Neurospora crassa OR74A: one gene and its partners. The protein of the gene in region 3 purifies or fractionates together with the protein of the main gene of each other region. This does not show direct contact. Links are inferred from orthologs where the notes say so. Each region holds a gene or a part of one and is shown on either strand. Other genes may lie near its edges. The genes, in order: NCU06622, NCU02685, NCU01235, NCU07832, NCU00505 and NCU00210.

Region 1 (3,960 bases), on a different chromosome or scaffold from region 3:
AATACAAGGACGTGGCCGCTGCCGTCTCCCACCACGACAATCTCGAGTTCCTTGAGGACGTGGTGCCCAAGACTTCTTCCTACAAAGCCATCAAGGCGCAAGCAGCGGCCGCCCGGGCCCGCGTCAAGGGCGGGAGCGACGTTGTGGTTCCTCCTGCGGGGACCGCCGCCGCGGTCGTTTTGGCGCCTGGACCGGTTATGGGAGGACTGGCAGCTCCCGAGGGGGTTATGCTATCTTTGGAGCAGGGACAAGTGGGTGATCATGGAGATGAGCGGGATAGGATGGCGATGCTGCCGAATGCCAAGAAGCAAAAGGGGTCCGGCGGGTTGCAGCAAACGTCCATCTTGATGTCTATGAATGGGGGGTTGCCTGCTGGTACAGGAAGCGGTGCTAGTGGAAGCATTGGAGGGCTGGCGGCGCCGGTGAATGGACTCGGTGCTGGCGGGGTTAATACCGGTATTACCAATATGGGTGTCACGACGGGTGTGGTGGGCATGTCGTCGGCTTCGGGACGACCATTTAGTTCTACTCCTGGTGTGATGAGCGGCATGAATAGGGGTATCTTGTCGGCATCACCGCCAGCTACTACGTCGGACGAGGATCCCAGCGCGCAGTTGCAGATGGAGATGAGGCAGGCGGCGTCACAGCAGTATCGGGGTCATGATGGGGATGTGGATATGACGGGTTAGTTGAGTGACTGTCCATACATACAGAGCCGAATAGACGTGTTGAATATCCGGGCGAGTACAAGACGTTAAGAGGTGTAGAGTTGCCGAATCAAAGACCATGGGCCCTTGATATGCTCGTCCTAACGTCCCTTTCCTCAAGGCCGCTCCGATTGCTGCGGTGAAATCATGACACCACTATCATGTTTCACTATCTCTGTTTCAACCCAGCAAATTTGCGCAATTTGGTATACAGTTATTTTGCAGTAAGCCCCATCTAGAACCGAACGCCGACAAATGGTAAGCTCTTTGAAGTGCCGTCCTCCCCCTTTTCGTCACCTCTGCAAGCCATCATATCACGAACATATAGCAACCTGATCTACCACGTTCGTCAGGTGCCCGTCACCTTGGTTCCTCCTTACTCCTCCATGGCATCGTCATCCTCGGCGATAATGCCAGGTGGCAGCCGTCCCTCGTTGAGCGCCTTCTCCAATCTGATGATTTCCTCCAAGCTGTCGGCCTTCTTGATCAGATCCTGCAACTTCTTCTTCTCTTTCTCTGTGAGCTTGAGACGCGAAAGTTTCGAGGAAGGACCACTGCCGGCCGCACCGTTGGCGGAGCTGGCGCCAACGTCAAAGGTCTTGCTCTTGATTCCCTTTATCTGTTTGCATGTTAGCAGGGTTGTCATGACATTGAAAAAGAAGACAAGGTACATACCGTCTTGGCCAACTCCGTCGGCTCATCAGCGGTTCCAAACAGCTCCTTCGCCTTCTGCCTCTCGGCGTCCTTGACCTTGACGTAATCGAGAAAGCGAACCTGAGGGCACAGCCAGAGGACCCAGTAGCGGTAGTTCTGTGTGTCGACAAACATTGTCAGCCATTCCGTACATTCATTCCATTTGCCACCCCCGTCTCCGATTCTCTCTCAGCCGCATAACACTGGGCGACGAAAGGGCGTTGTGTGACGTACCTCCTTCTTGGTAACGGGGTTGTCCGTCAAGACCAAGTGCGTAAGCCTTGGAAACCTTCCCAACACCTCCAAATCCGCCAGCTCGCCAATATTATTGGACGCCAGGACGAGGTTCTTCAGGTTCGGGGTCGCATTCGGTAGGGTCGACTGGATCTGGGCGATCCTGTTGCGGGCGAGCAGGAGGGTGCGTATGCGGGGAGAGAGCGGGAAGTTGCCCAGCACTTGGATATCGTTGTCGGTGAAATCAATGGCATCGTGGGGCTGTAGTAGCGACCGGATTAGCAAACTGCATTAATTGGTAATTTGGTTGAAACGGGCTACCAGTAGCAGGACTAGCAGTAGAGGAAGAACCAGGAGAAGGGAGAAACTTACCCCAGCAACGCCCAAGTTCTCAATAGCAGGTATTCTGTGTCCTATTGCATGTATCCCAACCCAACATAGGTTTTCGATATATCAACTCTGTTCTTTGTACGCGCTTTTGGAAACTTGAAGATCAACCGTGCAGTATCTGCTCTTCTCGATGGAACGCACCTCGGAGGTCTATCTCTCGCTCCTTAAGCGGATTGAGATAGGAAAGGGAGTTGTTGATAAGGTCTGCCGTCAGCCTCATTGTGACGACGGGAGTGCAACGACGACGGGGAGCTGTCGAGCTGTCGCTGCTACTACTACTGCGATGCCGGTCGGTACCTTGTGATGGTTGTTGCTGGTGGTGCTTTTGTAATACGGCGGCGCAAAGGGGCTTTGCAAACAGGTGATTAATTATTGATTACAGCCAGGAGAATTGCCGTATGTCCTGTGTTCGCCTTCGAGATTGAAATTGATGGAAGTCAACTAAAGAAGCAAAAGGTTGAAGCGCGTCGCGTGGTTCGTAATTGGTGGCTGTAGTGAAGTTACCAAAGTAGATTGACAAGGCTGCCTGCCCCAATGAAGTCATGGACAGCGCCGCAAAAAAAAAACGGACGATGTAGTAACCCTAACCCTTGCGCGTCGGATTACTTGCAAGTCGCAACCACACGGAGCTCCTAAACAGAGTCGACACGGTTTGTGTCTGAAAGACTAGGGTACTAGAGTCAGATATTATATGTTCATTTTCTGCCCTCTTGTTGGCCTAAAATGTTTCTTACTCGCTATCTCGCCAGGTTGCTGTCAAGTTTTCGTTCTACTTCTTGGTGTAAACGCTTTCACAACCACTAACCGCCCGCTATGGAAAAACCAAAACCACTTTCATCACACTCGCTCTTTAGTCCAGATCCCCAACCCGGCATCATCTAAAGAACCTGCAGCTGTAACTTTAGGGCTTGTTTCGTTATGATGCACACTATTGTGCAATTCCATTGTAACGTCACCAACAATGCTATCCCTACATCGTCTAACCGGACGTCGAATGACGCCTTCCATGCTACTCAAACCAGAAGCCAAAGTCACTGACACAATAAGCTTGCTATGTAACGCATCACGCAAGTTCCATGTCCATTACCTGGTATCACACACACACAGAATTTGCCCGACCTTGAACCAGAAGCGGGATTTAGTATGCGAATCCACACCTCTCGTCCTTTTATGCTGATAATTTGGTGCCCAAGGGTCGTGCCACTCACTCACTACTCGACGATAAGCCCCTCCAAAGCTTCCATCGCTCTGGCACCCTGCTTCTCAAACAGCAGGACCATCTCCTCGCATTCCCTCTTCAATCTCTGCTCAGCCAAGTTGGCATTATGATAGATCCACTCCTCCACGGTCATCCGCTTTTCCGGGCTCGTGAGCTCACTGCCCTTGTGCAAGAGTTTGTCAATGCCGTCTTCCTTATCGTAGTCGTTCTTGTTGGGCGAGAATATATTGTCTAGATCTGCCGCGGTCCAAGGCTTAGTGCTTTGAAGGGCACCCAGAATCGTCCGTTTGGAAGGAGAAGTGGGCCTGTCCGGTGTGGTAGCCATTGGTGCTAGAGCATGACGTTCGACTATTGGGGTCATTTGCTTCGGCGATGGGGGTCGGTTCTCTGCATTCGAGGATTGCATTGAAGGCGAGCGGTAGACGCTTGGCTGTTCTTGAGGTACACTCGCGACTGTAGGTGCCTGAGGTGTAGCAAGCGGCTGAGACAGGTGATCTGGGGACTCAGATGGCGGCGGAGGAAGAGACTTGTTTAGTTTGGCTGGTGTCGGCGCAGCTCGAGTGACGGCCGCTCTAAGAGGGGAGGCCCGGGGCGAATGTTCCGGAACCGGTTCTTCTGCTGCCGCTTCAACGCTCGCCTCTTTCGGAGTTGAAGCTGATAAGCGGCGCTCGGTTTCAAGCTCGACCTGGGTCTCGACCGGGGCTTGGGCCTCCGGAA
Region 2 (4,528 bases), on a different chromosome or scaffold from region 3:
CCCTAGCTCGGTCTCGACCCAGTTGATCAGCTCAGTACGAGTGGCATTTAATGCTTGAAGCTTTGCTTCTGGGTTGATTTCATCCGGCTGCACGGTGAAGGGGTGGGATTTCGCGTTCTCGAGGAGGGTCTCTTCCTGTTTAAGTGACAGTTTCGTTTGGAAGGTACGGTGTTCGAGTGTCTTTACAAGGTCCTCGAGCCGGACACTGCTAGATGCGGTGATGTTCTCCGACGTTTCCTCGAGCGCTAGAGAGTTGATAATCTCGGTTGGAACCTCAGGTAGCGGTCTGCAAACTCTGAAAAGTTTCTGGTGGTCTAGGAAATCCGGTGATGCCGCCGGCTTCTGCCTCAAGAGGTCAAGGTTTTTCTTGACCACTAACAGTTTCTCTTGCTTCTTTTGTATTTTGAGGTTGGTAAGATGGTTGAGAAGGTAGTTAGACTGTATTTCTGTTGGTTGAGGGACAGAAACCTCATGATGACTGCGCTTTTGTGAGAGTGTGTGGTATTCTTTGCGGGCTTTGATGTTCGCGCGCAATGCTTCGAGGAATTCCCTATACAGACCTCTAGTATCTTGTGAGTAGGAGGGTACTTCACTTGACTCGGTGAGAGACAACGGTTCTGTCAGCGTTGCTCCGTCTTTCAAGCCCGAACTGAGGTGAAGTGTCAAGATCCGTCTGATATGGGCGGCTTCCTCGCGAGGCCTGGTGTATGGTTGCAGCACCTTCTGAACAGCTTCTAGCGTTTCTCGAAAGGAATCCATCGTGTAGATAATTCCAACTTGACCTGTCTATCAGTATTGGCTTCTTTTCATATCAAGGCATAAAACAGCTTATTGGTCAAATTGTGAATGACTGTGATCATCGATGAGCTCAGCCCGATGTGAGCAGGACGGACATAAGAGAGCGTGGTATGAACCAGAGGTATCTCAGTTTCCAGCATTCAAATGATTGTTCAAATAGCTCGTGAAGTAATACGATTCGTCCCTCTTGGTGGTATGAAAAAGAGGTATCGTAGAAGTCGGAGCCCATGGATCAGACTTCTGCCACCTATCTCGAGTTGCTCGATGGGTTGAGATCGTGTTGATGATTGTGCCTACCACCTTTAGGATGTTTGTTAGTGCACCTTGACCAACCTCTACACACCCCACGGGGTCTCCGCCTATGCACTAACACCGCCCTGACAGCAAGGTCAAGCTCCAGCTGTTCAGTGTGTTTACGTGCTGTCCAGGCAGCCAATGAGAGTCGACGACGGCAGCATTGCATAAAAATTTCCAGCCGTCATGACTGGAGCCACACCTATCTCTGCACCGCTTGCCACCCCTACCAAGCCAAGTAAGTTCCTGCTGGCTGGCAAGAACCACGCCTCTGGCTCAACCTTTCCAAACTGAACGCCAAACTCCAACCTTCCTTTCGCGACAACCGCGACAGACTTCTGTCGGAAACCCATCATCTCTGTTTCCGCCCGACCCCAGATTCTTGATCTACCCATCGATGCGACCGGCGAAATACTACTTATCAGCCAGCAAAACCAACGCTTGGTTCGGGCCGGGCTCGGGCTAATTTATCGCCACTGCGTGCACGCAAGAACAAGCACATTTTATCCCCAAAGGCCGAGTTGAAGATATCACCAGATCGAGACTCTTCCATCCGCTACGACCTCTACTTCGATCTTGACGTATACCTCAAAACATTTCATAGATTTCTTTTTTTCTTCTCCGAGCTGGCAAGATGACGGACCACCACCGCGATGTGTCGCAATATAAATACTCGGCCATGTCCAACCTGGTTCTCCAGGCGGACCGTCGTTTCGTCACGAGGCGTACCGATGAGGCCACGGGAGACCCCGAGTCCCTAGCCGGGCGTCTGTCCATCAAAGATATGGGCTCCAGAGTCGCTCGCGACTCAGCACCAAAGCCCAAGAAGGCGGGCGCCATGCCCGACGTCGAGCGGGGCAGTCTAAGGGAAGGTGCTGATATCCTGCAACGAGAGAAGAAGAAGGGCAAACTCGAGTCCGCTACAAGAGGTGGAGGTATTCTTACTGGCGCCGACGCGCTTATCGAAGGTCTCCGCTACCGCCCTCGAACGCAGCCGACGCGCGATGCCTTCAACCTTATCCTCACCATTGTCGCCGAACACTTGGGCGACGTGCCCCATGAGGTCGTTCGCAGTGCTGCTGACGCGGTTCTCGAATATCTCAAGGATGACGACCTGAAGGATTTTGACAAGAAGAAGGAGGTTGATGATATTCTTGGAGTCTCGATGGGGCCCAAGCAGTTCAACGAGCTCATAAATCTCGGCAAAAAGATCACGGATTACGACGCTCAAGATGAAGACGAGGATGCGGGCGATGCTAGGCAAGAAGGCGACGACGAGATTGACGGTCGCCAGGGTGTTGCGGTCAACTTCGAGAACGATGAAGATGATGATGGCATGGTTGATGTTGTTCGGGACGAATCTTCCGATGAGGAGGATTTTGCGGAGGATGAAGAGCTGCCTGACAGCAACGAGGTGGTCGATGGTGAAGGAGGTCAGGAGGAGGTGGTCGAAGATATTCTGAACGGCGAGGCCATGGTCATCGATTCAGCACCGGAAGGGAAGAAAAGCGGGTCTGACGACAATTCCATACCCGCCAGAGATATCGATGCGTTCTGGTTACAACGCCAGATTGGCCGGCTATATCCCGACGCACATATCCAGCATGATAAGACAATGTCTGCGCTCAAGACTCTTTCCGGCGAGCCCGATGAGCCAGGTGGTGAAGAAAAGCAGCTCCGCGACATCGAAAACGACTTGATGGAGCTTTTTGATTACGAACACCACGAGCTTGTGCAAAAACTCATTGCTAACCGGGAGAAGGTCGTATGGCTTACTCGGCTGGCCAGAGCTGAGAATGAGGAGGAGAGAAATACGATCAAGCGGGAGATGGCTTCTGAGGGTCTGCGTTGGATTCTGGACGAGCTGGAAGGCAAGACCGACGGCGGCCAGAAGAAGATCAAGATGGACATCAAGATGGACATTGACTCGGGGGCCTTTGCTGATAAGGAAGGCCAAAAGCCTGAGCGTCCCGAGGGACAGCTAGTCGGAGGTCTGCAGCCACGCAAGTTAATAAACCTGGAGAACCTCATATTCGATCAGGGTAACCACCTTATGACCAATCCCAAAGTACGACTTCCCGAGGGCTCGACAAAGCGCACCTTCAAGGGCTATGAAGAAATCCATGTGCCCCCACCAAAGAAGCGCAACGACCCCAGCGACGCCCATGTCCCGATTTCTGAAATGCCTGAGTGGGCTCAGATACCTTTCAGCACGGCCAAATCGTTAAACAAGATTCAGTCAAAGTGCTATCCTACTGCCTTTGGTGATGATGGAAACATGCTTGTCTGTGCTCCGACGGGCTCTGGCAAGACCAACGTGGCGATGCTCACCATCCTTCGTGAGATCGGGAAGCATAGAAACGAAGCCGGCGAGATCGACCTGGACGCCTTCAAGATCGTCTATATCGCGCCCTTGAAAGCCCTTGTTCAAGAACAGGTCGGCAACTTCGGAAAGCGTCTCGAACCATTCGGTATCAGGGTGGCCGAACTCACTGGCGATCGGCAACTTACTAAGCAACAGATCTCGGAAACGCAGATTATCGTTACGACCCCCGAAAAATGGGATGTCATCACGAGAAAGGCTACTGATCTCTCCTACACCAACCTGGTCCGCCTGATTATTATTGACGAGATCCATCTCCTTCACGATGACCGTGGTCCTGTGCTTGAAAGCATTGTCGCCAGAACCATCCGCAAGACAGAGCAGACCGGTGAGCCTGTTCGCATTGTGGGCTTGTCTGCCACTCTGCCCAACTACCGCGACGTAGCGAGCTTCCTGCGTGTGGATACGAACACCGGGCTCTTCCACTTCGATGGTACCTTCCGCCCTTGCCCCCTCCGTCAAGAGTTTATCGGCGTCACGGACAGAAAGGCCATCAAGCAGTTAAAGACCATGAATGATATCACCTACCAAAAGGTCTTGGAGCACGTAGGACAGAATCGCAATCAGATGCTCATCTTTGTCCATTCCAGAAAGGAAACGGCAAAGACCGCCAGGTACATCAGGGACAAGGCTTTGGAAATGGACACCATCAACCAGATCTTGAAGCACGACGCCGGAACCCGTGAAGTCCTGAGCGAAGCCTCCAACTCTGTCAACAACACCGATCTGAAGGATATCTTGCCCTATGGCTTCGGTATCCATCATGCTGGTATGAGTCGTGCTGATCGTACCGACGTCGAAGATTTGTTTGCCAGTGGCCATATCCAGGTTCTTGTGTGCACAGCCACTCTTGCTTGGGGTGTCAACCTTCCAGCCCATACCGTCATCATCAAGGGCACGCAAGTGTACTCGCCTGAAAAAGGTAGCTGGGTTGAGCTCAGTCCTCAGGATGTGCTGCAGATGCTTGGTCGTGCCGGTCGTCCTCAGTTCGACACCTATGGTGAAGGTATCATCATCACCACCCAGGGAGAGATGCAGTACTACCTTTCGCTC
Region 3 (3,944 bases):
CCTCGGCCCTTTTTTCGGCAGGGATATGCAGCGACTTGTGTGGGTTATTCAGCGCCCATTCAAATTTCAGCGCGGCAATCATGCTCGGAAAACCGGAGACCAGACAGACCATGTTCCATGGCCGAAGAGATATTTTCGAAGTGCGATAGGCGCCACCCTTGGCGAGCCCGTTGTGTTGTGAGAGGCGCCGGGGTGGGTGAGGCGTGGAGCCGATGTAGAGGGAAGCGTGTCGGGGCTGGGAGCGGAGGATGTAGACTGTGTAGAGGGCGGGGATGGGTTTGGGTTGGATTTGGGTGGTGGTGGTAGACATCGTTTCTGTTTTCCCCTATTGGGAGGGAATTGGAAATGTTTTCTATAGGTGAGGTTGTCGTGACGTTTGGCTTGTTGTCATTTGCAGTCAAGACCTTGTTTCTTTTGGGAATTTCCCGGTGGACGATGTGCTTGATAATGAATTAGATGTGAACCGAGTGTCGCGTCAGTCAGGACAGTCGCCAAGAAGTACCGAACATTCGTTGATTGCACCCATTGGGCGATTGTGGTATTTTCGAGGTGCAAAAGGCAAAGGGTAACCAAGTTTATACGTGATGAAAATTGGTGACAGTGAAGAAGTGGAAGTTGCCGTCTTTGTTTACAAGATGTTGTTTATTCATGGCCGCAGTACCCGGAATGGCTGCCCAATTATTTCACGCCCTTGACTTCGCCATACCCCACTTTGGTGGGCCCAAGCTTTCTAAGCCCTTGGCTGCTCTGTTGAGTCTACAGGATGAAATGTCGAACAATCTTGCTGTCTATGTATTGGTTTATGTAGTAGTCCGAATTCATAGTTCTGTTTTGGACGGGGAGGACTTTGGGGTATTATGTTAATGTCTCAGAGGGGTGTTTTGACCTTGCTCATCCATCCTCTTAAAACCTCTCAAAGCAGACCCTGCTTCTGCAGATCAAGATATACCTTCTCAGGCATGACATTACCCTCAGCGTCCTCCATCTGCACGATCGAGCCCTCATCCACGTTGGTCTTTCTCGAGTCACCTTGGATCTTGTTCCAAAGCCTCACCGCCTCCTCTATAGACGTGATGTCTCGGAACAGATGTGTGTTTGTGATACCCAGACGCTTCAGGTTGGTGATGTGATTTGTTTCGTTGAAGTGCTTGTCAAAAGCACGCCGGCCGCGGTAGACAAAGTTGCCACAGATCTCGCAGGGAAACTCTTGACCCAGACCATGCAACCTGTAGAGCCAGAAGGGAATCGGCTTTCCGTCCCAAGCCAGCGGTAGCTTGAGCGGATTGTAAATCTTATCATCTCCGCCATCATCCTCGTCTTCCTCAGCCTCCTTAGCCTGCCTTCTGAACGTGGTGTTGTAGAGATTCTCCAACTCTTGTTGCCGCTCACGCTCCGTCATGCCTTGCCTACGTTCAACGTTCACTCTTGTGTCGTCCCGCTCCGTCTTCATAGCGCTGGCGAGCTTCTTGATGCGGTACTCCCTCTCAGCGACCGCCCGTTCCTTGAGGCGATGCGCTAGCGGGGCAACCGTGCCGTTTGATGTACCGTTGGCCGACTCTCCGTGAATCGCCGCCAACACCTCAGCGGCCTTGATGTGCTTCCTGCCGGTAAGATGGTTCTTGTAAACGTTTTCGTTCTTGAACTCCTTCTCGCATGCCTCGCACCAAACCGCGTCAGCGCTGCTCAGAGTGCGGTCTGTCGCAGAGCCGTTGGCCGCCAGTTTCTCCTTGCGCCAGCCTTCAATTTCGTCCTTTTCCCAAGCCGAATCGAATTCCTTGTCCCAGCCACCAAACACCTTTTCGAGATTTTCGAGTGGTCGCGTACGTCGAATGAAGGATTCCAGATACTCCATCAACTCGCCGAGGTACTTGAAATATTGATCGGTCAACTTGTCGGCCCGCTTGACTCCACCATAACCGGGTTGGAAGTTGTCAAAAACTTCAAGATACTGCATATACGGGAGTCGCTTCACATTGGGAAGGTTGAGGTAGGATTCGTGGCTGGCGTGCAAATCGAAGAAACGGCCGTATGCCTCTTCGCCCGAGAACATGCTTTCCACCAAAAATGGCTGATCGTCGCCATGCTTCCGCGGCCGGTACCAGTTTTCCGAGTTCTCGGCTTGCTCATTTGGGTACCGCGAGTGGTGTTCCTTGATAGTGGCTACTTGTTTGTAGAATTCCTCGAAGGGGTCACCACTGCCAATCTGCTGGATTTCCTTGGAGCGCACTCCAGTCTTGTCCTCGTATAGGGGAAGAAGCTCACGGGACTGGTGTTGAATCTGATCGAGGAGTTGGGATATCTCATGGTCACGATTAAGACGTTCATGAATCTAAGAATGTGTCAGCACAGAAGGTCTTGAGAGATACTTCGCGTGGAGGAAACATGCCTGTTTTGGCTCGTCGCGCAAACGGTCCGCGATACCCTGCTCGAGGCGTTCGAGATCCTCGTGAATGTATCTCTGCTCTTCTATCAACATGTTGACCAATGTGACACCCGCGAATTCCCCTATTCAAGAAGAAGTGAAAATGCGCGTAGAAGAGCCGGACTTGTCGTGTCGGGGTGCAGAATTGCGAATTGGAAAACTAGGATGATTTCTAGAAGAGAGGTTGTTGAAACGTGCTTTTTCGGCGCCACCAGTTGCTTCCGTGTACGAAGTCCAGAAAGAACAGCAGAGAAACACGTCGCGGCAGGCAAAGAACTCCCCGGCAAGTCCTTAGCGAAATCCACCAACTGCCCTGTCACAGATCCCCCGTCGTTCCATTAAATAAGGTTGGCCGACATTCTGCCGACCTGAAGGCTTGTCATCTTGGCAACTTTTTTTGACAACGGGAAAGCTCCACTCCAGTGCACGCCACACGTCGACATCGCATCCATCGTCAATCACTGTCGCGCTTTCGGTACAGTGGACTGTTTTTGTCTCGGGTGCAAATAATTTCCAATAACGAAGTCAACACTCCGGTCGAACCGCATCGTCAACATCCGCACCCACAACATCGCGTCCTCGGCCCTGACACACCTCAGAAACATACCCGATCCATCGACAGAATCGCCCACCATGGCTGACGGCGGAATCGATCGCAAGGCCGATGAAAAGATTCAGTTCTCCACCTCCAAGGAGGTAACGGTTCATCCGACTTTCGAGTCGATGTCCTTGAAGGGTAAGTCTTGTCGCATCGCATGTATTTCATGGTTGCTGTGGCTTAGTGAATTGGATTGAAACTAACTGGTTCTCAAAACAGAGAGTCTCCTTCGCGGCATCTACGCCTACGGATATGAGTCCCCCTCTGCTGTCCAGTCCCGCGCCATCGTTCAGATCTGCAAGGGTCGCGATACCATCGCCCAGGCCCAGTCCGGTACCGGTAAAACAGCCACTTTCTCGATCTCTATGCTTCAGGTCATCGACACCGCCGTGCGCGAGACCCAGGCCCTCGTCCTTTCCCCGACCCGCGAACTTGCGACCCAGATTCAGAGCGTTGTGATGGCTTTGGGAGATTACATGAACGTCCAATGCCATGCTTGCATTGGTGGCACCAACGTTGGCGAGGATATTCGCAAGCTCGACTATGGTCAACACATTGTCTCTGGCACTCCTGGTCGTGTTGCCGACATGATTCGCCGCCGTCATCTCCGCACCAGACACATCAAGATGCTGGTTCTCGATGAAGCCGATGAGCTCCTCAACCAGGGTTTCCGCGAGCAGATCTACGATGTGTACCGCTATCTTCCGCCTGCCACACAAGTCGTCGTCGTCTCTGCCACCCTCCCTTATGATGTGCTCGACATGACCACCAAGTTCATGACCGACCCTGTTCGTATCTTGGTCAAGCGTGACGAGTTGACCCTCGAGGGTTTGAAGCAGTATTTTATTGCTGTGGAGAAGGAGGACTGGAAGTTCGACACTCTTTGCGATCTCTACGACACTCTGACTATTACACAAGCCGTTA
Region 4 (3,034 bases), on a different chromosome or scaffold from region 3:
CTTCCCGCAGCTATTGAGAACATCATTCTGCGTTACGTCAAGTCCAAGGCCGATTGGTGGATTTCGGTTGCTCATTACAACCGGGAGCGTATTCGTCGGGGTGCCACCGTCGATAAGACCGTTGCTAAGAAGAACGTTGGCCGCCTAACGCGTCTGTGGCTCAAGGCCGAGCAAGAACGCCAGCACAACCACATGAAGGATGGTCCCTACGTCTCTTCTGAGGAGGCTGTTGCCATTTACACTACTACGGTGCACTGGCTTGAATCGAGAAAATTCTCTCCCATCCCCTTCCCCAGTGTGTCTTACAAGCATGACACCAAGATCCTTATCTTGGCGCTGGAGCGCCTACGTGAGGCTTACTCGACCAAGGGAAGATTGAACCAGAGTCAGCGTGAGGAGTTGGCCTTGATTGAGCAGGCATATGACAGTCCAGGCACTACCCTCGAGCGTATCAAACGCTTCCTACTCACTCAAAGAGCTTTCAAGGAAGTCGGCATCGATATGAACGACAACTACAGCACCATCAACCCGGTCTATGATATTGAACCGATCGAGAAGATTAGCGATGCTTATCTCGACCAGTACTTGTGGTATCAAGCTGACCAGCGCCATCTGTTCCCCGCTTGGATTAAGCCTTCCGATTCGGAGGTGCCACCTTTGCTTGTGTACAAGTGGGCTCAAGGCATTAACAACCTCGACAGGGTTTGGGAGACCGCGAATGGCGAGTGCAATGTCATGATCGAGACGCAGCTCTCCAAGGTCTACGAGAAGATTGAGCTGACCTTGCTCAACTCGCTTCTTCGGTTGATAATGGACCACAACCTTGCGGACTACATCACGGCCAAGAATAACGTTACCCTAACTTACAAGGACATGAACCATGTCAACAGCTATGGTATGATTCGTGGCCTGCAGTTCTCAGCCTTCGTTTTCCAGTACTATGGTCTCATTCTCGATTTGCTGTTGCTTGGCCCGCAGCGTGCCAGCGAGATTGCCGGTCCTCCCCACGCACCCAATGACTTCCTTCAGTTCAAGGACCGGGAGACTGAAACAAGACACCCGATTAGGTTGTACACCAGGTACATCGACAAGATCTGGGTGTTCTTGAGGTTCACCGCGGATGAATCTCGCGACCTGATCCAGCGATTCTTGACAGAGCAGCCTGATCCCAACTTCGAGAACGTGATTGGTTACAAGAGCAAGAAGTGCTGGCCCAGAGATTCGCGTATGCGTCTCATGAGGCACGACGTCAACCTCGGCAGAGCTGTGTTCTGGGATCTCAAGAACCGCCTCCCAAGATCCGTGACGACGATTGAATGGGAAGACACCTTCGCCAGCGTGTACAGCAGGGATAACCCGAACCTCCTGTTCTCCATGTGCGGCTTCGAAGTGCGCATCTTGCCCAAGATCCGCAACCAGAACGATGAGTTCCCTGTGAAAGACAGTGTCTGGTCACTAGTGGACAACACGACCAAGGAACGCACCGCTCACGCTTTCCTACAAGTTACCGAAGAGGACATTCAGAAATTCAATAACAGGATCCGTCAGATTCTCATGTCGTCTGGCTCGACCACATTCACCAAGATTGCTAACAAGTGGAACACGGCGCTGATTGCCCTCTTTACTTACTACCGCGAGGCTGCTGTTTCGACCGTGAACCTGCTTGACACGATTGTCAAGTGTGAAACCAAAATCCAGACTCGTGTCAAAATTGGTCTCAACTCCAAGATGCCTTCCCGTTTCCCTCCTGCCGTTTTCTACACTCCCAAGGAGCTTGGTGGCTTGGGTATGATTTCCGGATCACACATCCTTATCCCTACTAGCGACAAGCGCTGGTCTAAACAGACAGATCTCGGAGTTACTCATTACCGTGCGGGCATGTCGCACGATGAGGAAACGCTGATCCCCAACATCTTCCGCTACATCATCCCGTGGGAAGCTGAGTTTATCGACTCCCAGCGTGTGTGGACGGAATACTCGCAGAAGCGTCTCGAGGCCAACCAGCAGAACCGCAGATTGACCCTAGAGGATCTGGAGGACAGCTGGGATCGCGGTCTGCCCCGTATAAACACTCTTTTTCAAAAGGACCGTAGCACGTTAAGCTTCGACAAGGGTTTCCGTGCCCGTTCCGAGTTCAAGATCTATCAGTTGATGAAGAGCAATCCCTTCTGGTGGACAAGCCAGAGGCATGACGGTAAACTTTGGAACCTTAACGCATACCGTACCGATGTCATCCAGGCGCTTGGTGGTGTCGAAACCATCTTGGAGCATACCTTGTTCAAGGCAACTGGTTTCCCGTCTTGGGAAGGTCTCTTCTGGGAGAAGGCCAGTGGTTTCGAGGAGTCGATGAAGTTCAAGAAGTTGACAAATGCCCAGAGGAGCGGTAAGTTCAACATACCATTTCTCTAGCATGAATTCATCATCATATGCACGCACAAATACTGACTTTGAAATACGCAGGTCTCAACCAGATTCCTAATCGTCGTTTCACGCTTTGGTGGTCGCCTACCATCAACAGAGCCAATGTCTACGTCGGTTTCCAAGTGCAGTTGGATCTAACTGGTATCTTCTTGCACGGCAAGATTCCTACTCTCAAGATCTCCCTGATCCAGATCTTCCGAGCTCATCTGTGGCAGAAGATCCACGAGTCAGTGGTCATGGATCTTTGCCAGGTCTTCGATCAGGAGCTTGAGGCTCTAAGCATCGAATCGGTTCAAAAGGAAACCATTCATCCCAGAAAATCTTACAAGATGAACAGCTCCTGCGCGGATATCCAGCTCTTTGCCAGCCACAAATGGAACGTTACTCGCCCATCGCTCCTTTTCGATACCAAGGATGTCATCGAGTCTACTACGACGAACAAGTTTTGGATTGATGTTCAGCTTCGCTATGGTGACTACGACTCTCACGATATTGAGAGATACGTCAGGGCCAAGTATCTGGACTACACCACCGACAGCATGAGTCTTTACCCATCTCCTACCGGTCTCATGATTGGCATCGATCTGGCTTACAACTTGTACTCTGCCTACGG
Region 5 (3,353 bases), on a different chromosome or scaffold from region 3:
CCAAATTATACAACTAGAATAGGTCAGTAGTTGAAGAGCAACCGTGTCTTGTGATCTGGTATCCATGGCCCTGTCCTCTCGGCGGGTGACCAGCTCTTCGGCCCTACGGGCTTTGTCTGGTTGGGCTGCACATCCTCATCCGTCCCCTGCCTTCTGTCCCTCGTCATTTATAAAGGTTGTGAGGCCGTGACTAACCCTCTCTTCGACTGTAGTCATCCACTACGAACCATTGACTTTACTGCGAGTTTGTCTCTTCGTTTGTCCGCATCGCTTCCACGGCGCATCGTCCTGAACACGAATCGACAACAAGAATTTTCCTCTACACGACATACCTTCACGGTCAAACTTTTCAACGCCGACATAGCGCCAGCCTAATCTTCCCAATGACATCCTTCGTTACAAATCTCTGGGAGTCGATCTTCACTCCGGGGCCGACTCCCACCCTCCTTATCGCGACAAATGTCACATTTGCCGCTCTGCAAATTGTCCTGGCGTGCCTCCTCTTTGCGACATGGAGTATCCACTTCGTAATTCTCTCGGCTCTCTGCGGTGGACTCTGGGGATCCATCAACTGGTTCGCGGCGGAACTGAAGGTGCACCAAATCCAAGAAGAGGAAAAGGCGAGAAGAGCCAAAGAAGCAGCGCCAACTCCAGTCACATCGGAAGACAGCGAAACAGAAGTAGAGGCAGCTACATCGACAGCTAGCCTCACGAGGCAGGAGTCAATTGCAGAGGCGGTCAGCCATGAGGTTGAGCCTATCCAGCAGATTGGAGAACTGAAGCACAGAGTGGTTGAGGAGACACCGAGCCTGGGCACTAAGAGCGGCGTCAGCACGGAAGATGAGTGGGAGAAGGTTTCGGAGAACGAGAACGAAAAGGACAAGTGAATATCCTGGCGATTGAGCGGGGACCGACCACACGCAGAACGTACAAGCGAATGTCGTGTTAGCGAAGTTACCATGGCATCCTGTAAATAGTGTCATGGTCCGCTTTCGTGTTGGAGTTGAGCGACGATGGCATTTACACATCCACCCTGTTTTCGTTCTTCATTGGATGAAAGGAGAGGCAGTTGAAGGCTGTAAGCCCTATGTTCGTTTCATAGTCCTTATCCTGCCATGAGGCATCATGATCTGTGCAACTACAGCTATAGCTTCAGAGACAAAGTCATAGTAAACAACACCTTGTTGTTCGGCGTGGCAGTTAGCCAGCCCATCTTCGTGTACCCCAATTATCTGGTTGCTTCAACTCAGCACATGAACAGATCATGTGCAGGGCAGGCAATTTATGGATAGCTTGAAACCCATGACTTCCAGGGTTAGGGGCTTTCAAGCCGCCGTTTGCCTGTTCAGCTCGGCTCACGTGATTGAGCACGGGCTCTATCTTGGCGCGTAGCGACGGCAGGCTATCTGCTCCACCCTGACGCTTGGATGGTTGTGCAAGCGTCCAAGGAAGCTCGACAAGCCTTCTCCCGTCGCGACTGTTGATTGACAAAGTAACAAGCTGGTAATCGAGACCTTGTCACCACCAATTCCATACAACACATATTCGATTACGCGTTGTCCAAATAAGTCAAGATGAAGCTGGTCAGGTAAGATTTCTCCTTGCTTTCTGATACTTCGCTACATGTACCCGATACCCCATCCCACCCGACTTCATTCCTATTCTCTTGCACGACGCATGCTGAGCTTTGAGTCCTCGCCTTCAAGGCTGCCAGCCCGTGTTCGCGCGCGTCCATGCTGCTCTACTAGAAAAAGAACACCAAGGGCACCAGGCTGACGAAGTGGAATCCGTTACTTCAACACTGCAGATTTTTGATGAAATGCGCCAACGAGACGGTGACGATTGAGTTGAAGAACGGCACAATTGTACACGGCACTATCGCCTCGGTCACACCCCGCATGGACACTGCGCTTCGCAACGTCAAGATGACCCCCAAGGGCCAGGACGCTGTGGCTCTAGATGCCATGAACATTAGGTAAATCAACCCTTTCAACTAAGGGGGAGTGGCCCTTTTCAGTTTTCGAGGGCATCACTAACTATTGAAACCCTACAGGGGCTCGACCATCCGTTACTTCATACTCCCCGATTCTTTGCCGCTCGATACATTGCTAGTTGATGATTCCGTGAAGCCCAAGAACAAGGCGAGAAAGGAAGCGGACCGCAGCGCCGGCGGCAGAGGTGGCCGTGGTGGCCGTGGCAGAGGAAGGGGAATGGGTCGCGGCCGCGGTCGTGGCCGTGGCTAAGCGGATCTCGTTTCTTTGGGATCGGCCACGGCGTACGTCTCCCTGGACGACAGAAACGTGCGAATTAGATTTTTTTTCAAAGACGATACGATGCTATACTACGGTTAATGGTGGATTTTTTTCGGTTTTTTATGCCCCCTTCGGTCGACCGGCTTGACCGTCTTGGTAGGGAAGATCAAGGCCGGCCCGAAATAACGTCCGGTGGCGACGACACGACAAAATCGACGATGAGTGCGCTTCAGAAAATCGAGGAGCATATCCCAGATCTTCACTTGAGCGACACTCGAGATTCACCTCATTCGCATCGAGTGTTACACACATAAACACCACTCCCCCTCATCGGATCGGAGCAGAGGGCAAGCATTGGGATTTCGTTGCGGCGTTCTGGACAGGATAAAATCACTTTGCTAGCGGGAAGGGAGAGAGAGAAAGGCGCGCCCAACCGCCACCGGAATGAACTATTTTATGTATCACAAAACAGATAGACGGCGATATATGCCTACTGGAGAAGGCGGCACAATCAGCAACTCTCTATACCAAATTTCCCCCAGAATTTTCGAGCCTTGTACGTGACTGACCATCGTCCTTCCCCCTCTTCCACCCTCTTCAACAGCTTCCTCCCCATCCTCAACTCATCACCAGCATCTCATCCCTCCATTCACCTCCAAACCCTCACAATCTGCAACTTCTCCCAACCCGCCTGCCTCCCACTAGTCCCCACCGTCTCTGCCTTCCACTTCCCTTCACCACCCATCACCCTGATCCTCCCTTTGACCTCCTCCGGCTTATTCTGCGCACAAAGCAGAATATACGCCACCCCCCTCTCGCTCAACACCCCCGGCAAGGCCTCAATCAGTCTATCCGTCGTCTCCATCCCATCCCTCCCTCCAGCATACGTCAACTCCAAGAGATGTGAGTCTTCCTCAAACGTCGTTTTCTCCTTCAGTGCCTGCAACCCTGTCGGTGGCGGCGCAGGCAAGTCAGGCGTAGGGACGTAGGGCGGGTTGAAGACTAGGACATCTACCGATCCGGGACGAAAGGGGGAGACGAGGTCACCTTGGGTTGCTGATGTCCAAAAACCGGAGGTGGAAGTATTTTCGGAAACGGCCT
Region 6 (3,681 bases), on a different chromosome or scaffold from region 3:
CCGCGCCGATTCCCGCGATACCTTCGGGACCCATCCTGACGAAGCGAACCGGTTGCAGCTCTCCCCCCCCAAACATCCACCACCACCACCACAATGTTTGGGGCTTTCAGATTCACCAACCCCCTCTCCGGGGGTCTTCTTTGGTAAGCGACTACCCTATGTTGCAGTTGCGCCAAAGGTTCTACCGGAAATGCTAATCATGTCGCGGCAAACAGGAAGATCCCATGGCGCATGTCCAAGTTCCAGAAGCTCAGGCAGCGCCGCAGACTGAGGGCCGTTGACAACGTCGTCGCCACCATTGAGAACGCTCTTGCCAAGAAGGGTGAGACCGTCAAGGCGGTGGAACGCTGGAGGGCTGAGATGCCCACCGAGGCCGAGATGCTGCCCAAGGACAAGTACACCATCTTCGACCGCAAGGAGAAGAGGTACCGCAAGGGCATCCACAGTACGGGCCACCCTTGTGCATCACTTCACAGCAGTCAAAGACCAAGGCTAATACGGCATTCCTTTTCCAGAGCTTCCCAAGTGGACCCGTGTGTCCCAGAGAGTCAACCCTCCCGGTTACTAAGACCTTCGACCCGGACGATGGACGATATCGTGCAAGCATGTATATCACTTGTAACATTACGCAGCGAAATGGCATGGGTGACATTGGAGATACCGCTAACAGGACCGTTTGCTTGGGGCAAAGAAGAGGAGGCCTCCTGTCTCGTCTCGCAAAGAGACTGACTGACTTGGAGGTCCTGTCCATCATGGACACTCCTGCTCGCTCCATGTTGAGATACCACTGCAGAGAGCAGCGCAAACACGGCCAGGCGAGCATCACAGAAGAATGTGTGGAGCCATACCGAATGGATGGGAAATCAATAATTTCCCGAAATACCATAGCAAGATACCAATACAACAACGAATATCATGTCTTCCAAGGGGGTATTTGTCTTTTACGCTTCTCTGTTCCGCCTCCACTTGCCCTGAATGAACAAAATTCGTAATTTCAGAGCCGGCTTGCATATTTTGTGTCGATTTGTCATGACGACTGGTTGAATATCTGTGCACTGGATCATGATGCACTCCCTCATTGTCCCACGTAACTCCCATGCAATGACAACTCTAGCGCAAGCGGCCGTATTGTTCGTCGTTATCGTCGTAGCGCTTGTGGTCATGCTCCCTCATTCTCTCGGCCTGGATTTGCCGGCCAAGACCACCGCGGCCCTCGTCGTAGTCCTCACGGTACTCATCACGAACTTGGCCGCCCGACTTTCCACGGCCGTACTGTCGCCCTTCCTCGAAGCCTGGGTCGAGATCGGTTCGGATGATGCGCTCGTCCAACTTGGTGCCGCCAATGTACTTCATGCAATCGAGAGCGTCCTGATGGGTGTAGTATTCGACGAAGCAGAAACCGCACGGTGTCTTTTGTAAGCGATCGAGGCCCATGACCAAGCGCTTGATCTCGCCGCATTTGCTAAAGAGTTCGTAAACCTGTTCTTCGGTAGTGTAGAAGGAACTGCCGAGGTACATTCGGTTAGTTCTTGTTTCTTTTGATTTTTTTTTGATTTTTTTAATTAAGGACTGGCAGCGTGGGGCAAACTTGCAGATTGCCGACGTAGAGCGTGGTCGCATCCTTCAACGGGTCATCGAACGCTTCGGGATGCATGTTACTGTCTTCGTTTTCTCCATCGCGGTGGTCCCGGTCGTGACGTCTGTTGCGCCTATTCTGTGTTGAGTGGATGGGTCAGCGGTCGACGGGGTGCTAATTATGGACAGGAGAGATTGGCAATGTTTGGGCATGGAAATGCCGTCAGGAGCACTCACCTTGTTGAAAAAGTATGCACTTGGCCTGTCAAGGCGCTCTACGGTGCTCCTTTGGCGAGTGTTCAACATGGTTACCTGGTAGTGAAGATGGATTATCTGCTCTTGGGTGAAAGGTGCCCTGCAACTGCGAAGAAGAAGGAAAATCAAAAGCTGTCAGCCCAAGTGGAAGTTCAATGGTTTGGAGTTCTGAGACGTCGATGGGGATGATGCAGTGGTTTCCCTTGCCAATGGAATTGGACCTACCTAAGAGGTAACTTAGGTTGCCCGCTAAAGTGGAAGTACAGGCGCAGCTACTTTCTGAGCGCGACTGGTGTGCCCGTGTACCGCGACAGCAGCACTGCAGGCTTCGTTCACAGTTCAGTTCAGCTCAGGTCAGTTACACTTAGTCCTGTTGGCGCACAGTGTCACAGTGCATCGGACATCACTGCATGGCAATCCAGGTAGTCTTGGCACTGTAACGGGCGACGGAAGCCGTTGGTGGTGGGTCAGGTACCCTATCTTACGAGGTGCCCGCAAATATGACGACGGCAGGCAAGGGCAGAGCGATGGAAGCAAGGGCAGGAGGACTTGGTGGAGGCGCTTTGTCGTTGATCCAACAACCATTGCCAGCCGATTGGACCGCAATCTGGCACCCAATTTACAGGCGCGTCACAGCACAACTGTACCTACCTCGGGCTTACCATTTATAGTATGTATACAGCTAGGTCTCCGTTAAGACCTCCATTCGGCCATTCCATCCCCTCTCATCCCGGGCGGCCTGCCTGTCTCCTGTTGATCAATGACCGATGGTGTGAGACGAGGCGGCGAGCACGGTCTGGACTGAACACCGGCGGACAGTTGAAACGGACTAAAGGGCTGTGGAAGGAGTGGAAACGCGCTAAAATGAAGCTAACACGATCGATCAAGGCAAGCAACGGAAAATATACGGCATAGGCACGGAAGCGGACGCCTCTAGTGACGCCCTGGACGCCTCATTTACAGCACTGGCTCGGACTGGACAATAGTGGCATCCAGCACTCGTCCATCCACGGGCATCCATCAGGTCCGTAGCACTACACGCTAGTCAAACCTTGTTGTTACCATCCTGACCAGCCAACCGAGACCACTAGCAAACTTCGCTTTCCTGGCTTTTTCTCCCATGGGATCGATCGAGGGGCCTGCCACTTCAAAAAGGGATCCCAATCTCTCTCCTTGTCTTCCCTCCCTTGGCTTCTGTTCTACTTGCTCTTGATCACCTTTTTTTTTTTTTTTTTTCATCTTCAAAAACCGAGAACCGCCATCACATTAATAGTACCGGTACATCAAATACATACGTACCTCGACCATAGTGCGCCTGCCTACCTACATAGCCAATTACCTCCCCACCTACATACATTACTTCAGCAGAGAAAGCGAAGTGCAGCACGACGACAAAAACCGGCCCGTGCATGCTAGGACATAGCAGGACCTCAACACAAGCTACTATTTCTGCCTAGCCAGACACCAACTTCGGTTTTCATTGCGCCACACGAACCACCGTCATCTGTAGGATTCATCAGGCTCGAGTTGGATAGTATAGCGACAACAGACAGCTCTTAGCACAAAACCACCAAGCACAGTCGGGATGCCCAAAATCCGGAGCTTCTCGGCGCCCTGGCTCCAGGAGCCAAACCCCGGCCATAAGCTCTTTGAGCAGGCCGAGGAAACCAACCGGCTCCCCGCTTCGATAGCTTCCTCCAGGAACGCCAGTCAGGGACCCAATCGCACCATCGCACACCGAGGAAACGAGGTCTTTGTTGCCAGAGGAAGGGAAATCAGATGGGGAGATCTTGCCGATCTCAAAGACGCCTGGGAGGCCCAACAGTCACGGACCGGCTCCGCAAGCCACCT

The links.
Region 1: the proteins of NCU01235 (region 3) and NCU06622 purify together in Saccharomyces cerevisiae (affinity purification with mass spectrometry; 6 studies listed by BioGRID, with this or other methods). This does not show direct contact. The link is inferred for Neurospora crassa OR74A from reciprocal best matches to the Saccharomyces cerevisiae genes PRP9 and LEA1.
Region 2: the proteins of NCU01235 (region 3) and NCU02685 purify together in Saccharomyces cerevisiae (affinity purification with mass spectrometry; 3 studies listed by BioGRID). This does not show direct contact. The link is inferred for Neurospora crassa OR74A from reciprocal best matches to the Saccharomyces cerevisiae genes PRP9 and BRR2.
Region 4: the proteins of NCU01235 (region 3) and NCU07832 purify together in Saccharomyces cerevisiae (affinity purification with mass spectrometry; 3 studies listed by BioGRID). This does not show direct contact. The link is inferred for Neurospora crassa OR74A from reciprocal best matches to the Saccharomyces cerevisiae genes PRP9 and PRP8.
Region 5: the proteins of NCU01235 (region 3) and NCU00505 purify together in Saccharomyces cerevisiae (affinity purification with mass spectrometry; 4 studies listed by BioGRID). This does not show direct contact. The link is inferred for Neurospora crassa OR74A from reciprocal best matches to the Saccharomyces cerevisiae genes PRP9 and SMD1.
Region 6: the proteins of NCU01235 (region 3) and NCU00210 purify together in Saccharomyces cerevisiae (affinity purification with mass spectrometry; 4 studies listed by BioGRID). This does not show direct contact. The link is inferred for Neurospora crassa OR74A from reciprocal best matches to the Saccharomyces cerevisiae genes PRP9 and CBC2.

Annotation. Positions count from the first base shown.
Region 1 is NC_026504.1:1,833,346-1,837,305, reverse strand, and holds NCU06622 (U2 small nuclear ribonucleoprotein A'), read right to left. Parts: upstream 2,544-3,960; 5' UTR 2,245-2,543; coding exon 2,166-2,244; intron 2,048-2,165; coding exon 2,007-2,047; intron 1,896-2,006; coding exon 1,635-1,895; intron 1,518-1,634; coding exon 1,383-1,517; intron 1,327-1,382; coding exon 1,084-1,326; 3' UTR 690-1,083; downstream 1-689. Other genes in the region: NCU06623 (hypothetical protein), read left to right, coding at 1-689; NCU06621 (hypothetical protein), read right to left, coding at 3,236-3,960. UniProt on the Saccharomyces cerevisiae protein: Involved in pre-mRNA splicing. Associates to U2 snRNA in a MSL1 dependent manner and is required for normal accumulation of U2 snRNA. Required for the spliceosome assembly and the efficient addition of U2 snRNP onto the pre-mRNA.
Region 2 is NC_026501.1:3,198,383-3,202,910, reverse strand, and holds the start of NCU02685 (pre-mRNA splicing helicase), read left to right. Parts: upstream 1-1,612; 5' UTR 1,613-1,726; coding exon 1,727-4,528. Other genes in the region: NCU02686 (hypothetical protein), read right to left, coding at 1-135, 187-446, 561-759.
Region 3 is NC_026505.1:3,309,011-3,312,954, reverse strand, and holds NCU01235 (splicing factor 3a subunit 3), read right to left. Parts: upstream 2,622-3,944; 5' UTR 2,477-2,621; coding exon 2,387-2,476; intron 2,330-2,386; coding exon 914-2,329; 3' UTR 639-913; downstream 1-638. Other genes in the region: NCU01236 (GIY-YIG catalytic domain-containing protein), read right to left, coding at 1-310; NCU01234 (eukaryotic initiation factor 4A-12), read left to right, coding at 3,056-3,158, 3,240-3,944. UniProt on the Saccharomyces cerevisiae protein: mRNA splicing factors, PRP9, PRP11, and PRP21, are necessary for binding of the U2 snRNP to the pre-mRNA in an early step of spliceosome assembly.
Region 4 is NC_026503.1:1,009,872-1,012,905, forward strand, and holds part of NCU07832 (pre-mRNA processing splicing factor 8), read left to right. Parts: coding exon 1-2,383; intron 2,384-2,460; coding exon 2,461-3,034. UniProt on the Saccharomyces cerevisiae protein: Functions as a scaffold that mediates the ordered assembly of spliceosomal proteins and snRNAs. Required for association of BRR2 with the spliceosomal U5 snRNP, and the subsequent assembly of the U4/U6-U5 tri-snRNP complex.
Region 5 is NC_026501.1:8,193,060-8,196,412, forward strand, and holds NCU00505 (small nuclear ribonucleoprotein Sm D1), read left to right. Parts: upstream 1-1,447; 5' UTR 1,448-1,574; coding exon 1,575-1,588; intron 1,589-1,706; exon of another isoform or gene 1,707-1,807; coding exon 1,808-1,975; intron 1,976-2,053; coding exon 2,054-2,243; 3' UTR 2,244-2,793; downstream 2,794-3,353. Other genes in the region: pkr1 (ER membrane protein), read left to right, coding at 384-887; NCU00504 (hypothetical protein), read right to left, coding at 2,902-3,353. UniProt on the Saccharomyces cerevisiae protein: lays a role in pre-mRNA splicing as a core component of the spliceosomal U1, U2, U4 and U5 small nuclear ribonucleoproteins (snRNPs), the building blocks of the spliceosome. Also binds telomerase RNA and is required for its accumulation.
Region 6 is NC_026503.1:3,018,420-3,022,100, reverse strand, and holds NCU00210 (nuclear cap binding protein subunit 2), read right to left. Parts: upstream 2,073-3,681; 5' UTR 1,882-2,072; coding exon 1,813-1,881; intron 1,715-1,812; coding exon 1,593-1,714; intron 1,505-1,592; coding exon 1,111-1,504; 3' UTR 630-1,110; downstream 1-629. Other genes in the region: NCU00211 (mitochondrial ribosomal protein subunit L31), read left to right, coding at 94-143, 216-445, 516-568; NCU00209 (hypothetical protein), read left to right, coding at 3,416-3,681.